Linked DNA regions of Drosophila melanogaster. Changing the gene in region 2 together with the main gene of any one other region gives a genetic interaction. Each region holds a gene or a part of one and is shown on either strand. Other genes may lie near its edges. The genes, in order: gogo and Ilp5.

Evidence for each region.
Region 1: of Ilp5 (region 2) and gogo, changing one suppresses a phenotype caused by changing the other (phenotypic suppression), as found in Drosophila melanogaster (one study listed by BioGRID).

Annotation. Positions count from the first base shown.
Region 1 is NT_037436.4:20,291,976-20,297,275, forward strand, and holds the start of gogo (golden goal), read right to left. Parts: upstream 3,159-5,300; 5' UTR 2,786-3,158; intron 1-2,785. Other genes in the region: FRG1 (FSHD region gene 1), read right to left, coding at 3,870-4,017, 4,110-4,309, 4,369-4,567, 4,632-4,814, 4,867-4,925.
Region 2 is NT_037436.4:9,822,700-9,825,609, forward strand, and holds Ilp5 (Insulin-like peptide 5), read right to left. Parts: upstream 1,199-2,910; 5' UTR 1,175-1,198; coding exon 1,012-1,174; intron 941-1,011; coding exon 777-940; 3' UTR 650-776; downstream 1-649. Other genes in the region: CG43897 (uncharacterized protein), read left to right, coding at 1,847-1,941, 2,104-2,910.

The DNA.
Region 1 (5,300 bases), about 10 Mb from region 2:
GATTTTCCCATAACTGTGCGCTATGTGGCTCTTGATGGCGTTGGAGAGCCGAATGCCGAGCCAGAAAGAATGCTAAAACTTGGATAATCATCCCAGCACCGCACCGCCCACATTTCCAAGTGCTGGCCGACCTACCCGCACCACCGCCCACCGCCCAAGAACTCGGTTCACTTTTTAATAGTTCGCAAACCACGGAGGGCTATGTGAGTTTAAACACTGTTACAAATACTTTTCCGGAGGCGGAATGCGTGCGCCACTGGAGTTGCGAGGCAGGCGCTATCCAGAAAACTTTGCCTTTCGCTCTTTTTTGCCGTTTTCATGTAGGCCTTGAGTATTTATTTGCATTTCAACTTGGCGACGGCACAGCAATCGCTTCAGCAAAATTAAGCACTTAAATTATGCAGACACAGTTTAATTACAGTTCGCATTAGGCAGTAGTAACTATATAAGGAAGGATTATTCCCCTTTCCGCCTGCGGAAATTTAAGGATTTTAAGGATCCAACGGAAATGGTGCAATATGCAAATATTTCAAATCCATTTAGAGTTAATCAACAAATCGTCTTGAGTAACTGGAGACAACTGACGGTCATCGAGTTACTAAATAAATATTTTTGCAAGCATTTGTATGTTTGCATGTTGGCGTTGCGAAAGGAAATTAACCCGTGAGAAAGGACTTTGGCATACGAGGTACTTCAGACCGCCGTCAGCTGTTTACACTTTCATCCCCAATATTCACAGTTGCCTGCCAAAGAAAGTTACCAAAAATCCACAAAAAGGCTGGCTGACTTTACCTTCTAAACTCTTTCCTTACATTTTGAAGTCTAGTTACCCGACATTGGAAAAGTTAGCGAAACGTTACCTGTTGTGGATACATTTTTAGTCCCGAAAAAAGGTCGGTTAAAAGTTTTAATGGGTATTGCTTATACGGAAAATTTGGTAATCAAAGGAAATACGTTTTACACCATGTTTAAGACCCTGCTACATGTGTATTTATATATAAGATACCCATTAGTTTAGTTTCCAGTCACTTGAATATAGGGAAAGCATATGGGGAATCCCTAGTTATAAAGGTCCGCATGGGGTTGTTTTCCACGGCTCACTCGCTTGTTGCAGTAGGATTGGACGGCATGGTATGGATACAACCCCCGAGGAAGTCCGCCAGCTCTCTCCAATCGCTACCTGGCCCCTGATTAATTTAGTCTGGGTCTCTCACTTTGTTCTGTTCTGTTCTGTTTTCTTTTCCGCCAGGTACCCACAGGGTATACCATGACATGTGTTCCTCCATGAACTGGGTGTGGGTGGTGGTTACTTACCCAGGTAGTCCAGGGAAGGTGGTGCATTTCTAAGCGAGTCAAATTGAATGCAACGAAGAAGACCTGTGACATCAGATGTCCATGTTGTATGTACATGAACGTAATTAGAAAAGCATCGGTGTACAATGTGCATGGGTTCGTGTGTGAAAGCCACCAGGAAGTCCGAAAATATAAAAAGAGTAATTGCTAAAACCAACTGCAAGTCACAGTCTATTTGTTGCCAACTTTGATGCAAATCTGTTTGGAGCTGGCTCTCGAAATGCTCCCTAGATATTGTATGAAAAGGGTATTGGATTCAGGGCAAATGATGATAAACCGAAGTAGAGACACCCTTTTTTTTCTCAAATTTCAACACTTCATACACAATGGCAACGGCTTTAAGCCAAACTTCTTTACCTCCAATGGCGTTATTCTTGAGCCAAATCAATTGACAGGCTGAAAAGGAAACCATTTCAGCAGTCAAAGACTGCTGAGGAAATTAAAGAAATCTGACGGATTTCCATTGTCGACTTTTCCGCCCTCTGTCTGCCTGGCAATTGACCACTTTTGGGCTTGACAAAGGAGAAACAGGCCAGACAAAGGGGAAAAGCCCTCAAAGGAAATTCAACTTAATGGATTTTAAATGTTGAGGTTGATCGGCCCCTTTAAGAAGACCAATGTGTCCTGTTTACAAAACAAGGAATTTGTTACCAATTCAAATTTATGTTTTGTTTCCAATGAACTGGAGTTAAATATACTCACAGATACATTACAGATAACAAGGATTTAAATTGCATAACCATATCTCCAGTGTGCTTTAGAATCAATAATGAGCTGCTAACTATACCCTCTTAAGCTAATTAAAAAGATTAGCTTTATCGATCCACTAATATCACACCCGGAGCATTTGTTTTAATAGTTATGAATCTGAGTAATGTTAGCACGCAAGGATTGAAAATTGTACTGAGGAATAAGAAATTGTTTGGTGCACTCAACCCACTTTGTTTACCCCTGTGTCACAAATTAAAAACATTTGGGAATAACATGAACACAGTTTTGTATTAAAATAACATCCTCTTTTATAGCAAATCGTAGTGACTAATAGCCATTTCCTTCTTATATCGATCTCCCAAAGTATTTAACTCCGCCTTCCTTTGCATATCTGCAAATGTATGAGCTTTTCACACGCAACTTACTCGAATGGTAAATCATTGAGTTCAATTAGATTTATGCCCGAGAACGAGATTTATATATTTCTCAAAAGGATTTCTGTGGTCCCACACTTTTGAATAAAATTGCAGCCTTGTTGATTCTAGTTTTCCTTGGAATTGATTATCCCATACCTGTCGTCGGCGGCAGTTTGAAAAAACACCCCGAATCGCCTGCAATTTTCGAAACACCACCGAAAAACGAGAGCGGGAAACAAAACCAGACCAGACCAGACAGTCGTATAAAGAGAATATAATAACTGCAATGAGATCACTTCACTCACCAAAGAGCAGGATGATATATGCAGTTGCACTACACGATTATTCTGTTGATGAGTAGTTCACTGAGCACTTAAGTATATCTACAGAACCTTTTGACTTAACCCGGCAACGCCAGTAGTTTGGTTTGAAAACCGAATCGAGACAAAGACCGCAGCACTCGTTATGGCCATTTGGAGGACCTTTGTTCACTAACGTTCGGTGAATTCAATTTTGACAATTTTCAAGTGTAACTTGACGGCGGCGGCACAATTCACGAGATACAATTCCAACCGATAGAAGCGTTTTCCATATGAAGTATCTACGAGATGCGGCAAAAAATCCGAACAGCCAAGCGGTGCGGACTTTCACCCACGAACACAGACGGCAGCAAACTGATTGCCACGCGACTTTGAGCCACCGGCCAGAGCCAAAATAAAGCCACGAGCGCACAGACGAGCACGAGCCACCAGGACGTGAACCGGATTCGGCACTTCAAGCGGACTCCTCGTGGAAAAAGCGAGAGGCGCACGCCAACGATGGTGTGAGGACTGCGCCGAGAGAGCGGGCGAGAGACCGAGATGAGAGCGGGCACGGGCACCAAGGATGCAACGCATGGTGGTTGATTTCCCACCCGACGAGGGGGTGGCTGAAGTAGTTGGGTGGTGTGGAGGACATCCAGCGCGAATTGTCATGTTGTGACGCCGTCTGCTGCTAGTTTTACTACAGCAAGGCGGGCGAAAGGGGGTGGAAAGGCTGTTGCCGGCCAGTTGAACTCTTGGCCAGCTTAAATCCCGCATCTGCATGCTCAAATCTGTGTGCTGCCTACATAGATTGATATTGAATTTTGGTTGTAAACTGGGAAATTAACTAGGTAAATACTGATTCTGCTTGAAACTATGAATATGAACACAGTTTACCTATCATTTGTTATTTAAAAGCCTAAGCTTGAAAGCCTGAACGAAATATATTGCTTTTAAATATTTAAACCAATAAGTATTCAGATATTTTCAGATACCAATAAATATACATATATATTTATAAAAATAAAACCCGTACCTTATTTTAGAGGTAACTTTTTTTAATGAATGATGAACACTTCGCGTCGGTTTACTTGCAATACCGATCGGCTTTCATTTTACTGCGTCTATCCAGAAGAGTTTCATGCAAAGATCCCTGAGCTTTTGCCTGCTCGAGTTCTTTGACATCGTTCTGATTAATCCGCATCTTCTTGTCCTGGAACTTTTGAAATTTTTTCCTAAAAAATGCGAAAGGTTCGAAATTTGAAATGGGTAACGCGGAATTCAACCTTTTTAAGTCCTATAAATCATAATCATCAGCTGAACTTACACATAGTTCTTCTCGACTTCGCCCAAGTCTCCCTTTTCTTCCTTGGGCTCCGTATCGATGACCACATCCCTGCTCGCATTACTCCGCACTTTACAGATCTCATGCTGACCCACCTTCTTTCGCAATGCCACGCAGGCGTCGTCTTGGGGATCGATCGACATAAAGTGTCCGGTTTCGGATAGAAGAGCCATTCGTTGTTCCTTTAATTACGTTGATTAGTTTTATCGTTTCAAAACATTTGTATATAGGTAAGACTTACCTCAAAAACCGGCTCCCACTGCTCCATGCCGCCCACTGCTTCGGAGCGCCCCGTGACCATTCCATCCTTCTCAATTTTCAAGTACTTGCCATAGCCAGACTTAAACGCTACCTTTCGGTCGTTGATGGGAAAAGCCGTGAAAATCTCCTCGGGATCTGGGCCATCGCCAGCGTTGTGTGGTGCTCCCAATGTGAAGAGACTAAAATGTTAATGGACACCCGGTATAATTAAAGTACCAATGGGCAGATCTTTTTCACTATTACCCATTGTCCATGGCCTTTAGGTAACTCCTATCGCCAAACTCTATGGACACTGTACCGGTGATGTCGGCCGCTGTCTTTGCTGCCCACCAACCGCCGTGCTTCACGGCATCCTCATCCACTACTACCTTGGCCTTTTTGGAAGATCCAGCCTCATCCTTTTCCTTCTTGCGTTTTTTGCTCTTTCTACAAATCGAGAATTTCAATTGATGCTATTGGCAGATTTGTAGTTACATACTTGAGTTTCTCGCCTTTTAGAACCAATTTCTTAATGCGTGCATGATCGTAGTCTGACATCGTCACAAAATAGGTAAATTGTTGATATAGTTTTGGTTTACAACACAATAAACAAACATGCGATACAACATCGCAGATGAGCTGGTCTATCGGCTATCGATATCTTACCAATAAAATACTGTAAGCGTACATTTTAAAAAGTACGGACTCAAACCATTCATTAACTTGGTAAAAAAATTAAAATCAAATGATTTTTGATCTGTGAGAGATAAGACATATTTCATCTTTCATCACATACATATATTTATTCTCGTAATTCATTATATATTTGCTTACAAAAAGGAAATACAATCACGGCTGCTGGATTTGTTAAACTAAACAAAAGACTTAAACTAAACATTTGACTTAGATACATACTTTTATAAATTATTATTA
Region 2 (2,910 bases):
AATGTTTACACTTCCTTCAAATTAATCAACTAATTAAAGTTGAGGCCGACAGATGTGAGTGATTTTTTGCCAAATGTTCCCAGCTAAAAGGTCAATGTCGGATCTAATGAGGAATGGCTGACGTTCGTCTTAAATTGCCGAAAAAGCTTAAAGCTTGGCGATTATCTCTGGACTTTGTCGTCCATAAATTCTTTAAGGTCTTATCTCAGCAGGCACATTTTCTTAGCTTAAATATTTCTGTTTGTTATCTCGTTTTGTTGAGGCAAAACATTTCGTCCCAGATTAAGATGATGCGTTGAAAGCAAAACATTTCAAGCAAATTATAATTAAAGTTGAAAACTCTTTTTGCCAGCTTAAAGAAAATCGCCAGGCAAGCGAAAGGCATAGTTTTGTTTGTGTGCAAAATTTCCACCCAACTTGCTGCGATTTAAATCAAAATTTGATTTTCCTTCCGCTCAAAGGAGCATATTTTCGTATGGAAAAAAATAAACATTGTTATAATAGAATTTGGATATATCAAAGTGTGTTTAAAATTGTTCATATTGTTCTTTTGCTAACCATTTAGTGTATCTGTTCACTTTTAAAGGCTAAAATTATTATCGAAATATTTATAATATTTAATGTTTGAAGAAATTAAAAAGCGATGTTTCGAATTGCGCTTATTTATTGTAGTTTCAAGTTTCAAAGCCGTGCATATAGTTTATACTTAATACTTTTACGTAACATGTCTCATATATGTATGTATGTAAACTGATGGACCAGGTATCGCAGCATTTTTAGGAGTCGCAGTATGCCCTCAACGTGGAAAAGGAACACGATTTGCGGCAACAGGAGTCGACAACGCCGCGAAAATCGCGCCGAATGCTCGACAGTGAGTTCATGTGGTGAGATTCGGAGCTATCCAAATCCGCCAAGTGGTCCTCATAATCGAATAGGCCCACTGCAAGTAAAATAAGTGAGTTCGTGCCGTTTGGAAACCCCAAACCCCAAAAAAACGCAGCCGATACTCACAGGTGCCTCGTTTGGCGAACATTGAATTGAATCCATTGGGACAGGCAACCCTCAGCATGTCCATCAAGGCGGGGCCACAAGCCCGCAGCGAGTTTGCGGCCTGGGCGGATAGCAGGAGCGGGATCAGGAACAGGAGAACTGGGATCACGGAGCGGAACATCATTGCCTTGCTGGAACTGCTGCTGGATAGGATGTGGTGCAGTTTCCGCCGCTGTCAGCCATTTTTATATCCGCCGGCGCACTTTCACCTGTCAGATTGGATTAGTCTTTTGGGGTCAGCGTGGGCAGGAGCGTACTTGCTAATTTTCAATGTCAGGACATCGCAGGGTGCTATCATTAATTTATGCCCATGGATTAGCGTAACTTTCGCTTAATCGGATGCACCAAGGGGGTGGCGGAATCTATATATAATAGCTGAAATCAAAATGTATAACGATATATATGGTCTTTAGTTAGAAGGGCTTTCATTTTCAATATGTTTAATTGGCTTATCGTGCAAATAGTGCATACGATCATAAGTTTGTATTTCATGAAATATTTAAGTAATGTACTTATTGTATATCTAAGAAAGTAAAGTCGTATATTACATTTTTGCCTGTTCACATGTATAATTCTATAACATATACCAAAAGAACGCATGACAATCGAATACATGCCTGCGAGGAGAGCATATTTAAAAATAAATTTAAATTTGGCGCTAACTGCTTGCAAGCAGTCGAAGCAGTGCGCCAAACACACAAGCAGTATATACCGCGAAATTTAAAATTTTACCTCATACAATATACGATGTGCATTGATTCTTACTAATTGTATTGTATTTTTACGTTATTTTTAGGATTGAAGTCGACGATCAAATAACGAAGCCCCTGAACTTGGCCAACTCGGCCGTTCTGCGCGCCGTCGAAGAGGAAGAACAACAAGCCAAATGTGGTAAGATATACCTCTCTTTTTTGGATATTTGTCTATGCGCGTTTATTTTATGTTGCCTAGACAAAAAGAAACAGTGTAGAAACATACAACAAAACAGCAAACTCCAGTCCCAGTGCTCGTCCAATATTAGTGTTTTTTACAGATAAATTTAAATAAATTCAGGGGACTTCCCCCACAAAGATTTTTACCCCACTGAAAGGCAGAGTCGCCCGCGTCAACGAGGCGAGGTGGATGCACTGCATCACACGCTGCACCAGCAGCTTCTGAACCAGATCAAAACAGACTATCTCAGTCATCAGCAGGACATCACTATCGATCGGGACACGGTGCTGAAAATCAACCGTCTGGCCACCAAGAGGCATCTGCTCAAACGGGATCACAGCTGGCCTCCAGCTGAGCAGGATCAACCAACTATCAATCCCGAACAGAGCCATCAGATCTCCTGCAGCCCATCGCACAGTATTGAGGCTCTGAGGGAGAAGTTCCAGAGTCCCACCCTGGTTATCGAACCCACTGCCAATGAAGTGAGAGAGCAGCGACGACGCGATGGTGGCTCCAAAGAGAGATCAAAAACGCTCCAAAAGCACACCAAAGAACCTGACCTGGCGGAAGTTTTCCATCAAACTCCCATATCCAAGGGATTCTCCGCTCCAGAGACCAAGGCAGCCGATGTGGATTTGGGTTTGGTGGCTCCGCGATGTGAGTACTACGAGCAATTGGCCCACAAAAGGTCCGCCACACCAACTCTGCCCACTCAAATCACTCCATATAGGCCAAGATACAAGAGACAGGCTCATTCCCTGGATCGTAGCCGCTCCCGGAAACGTACAGTGGGTGCTCCGGAATTGCCGCCACCTAAGCCGAGAACTTCAAAGCCAAAAGTCCAACGGCGGTGCATAAAACTGGCCACTGAGGTAAAGATCTCATATGGCCACGACGGCGACAGCGAGGATGATCCCAATTCTGGTC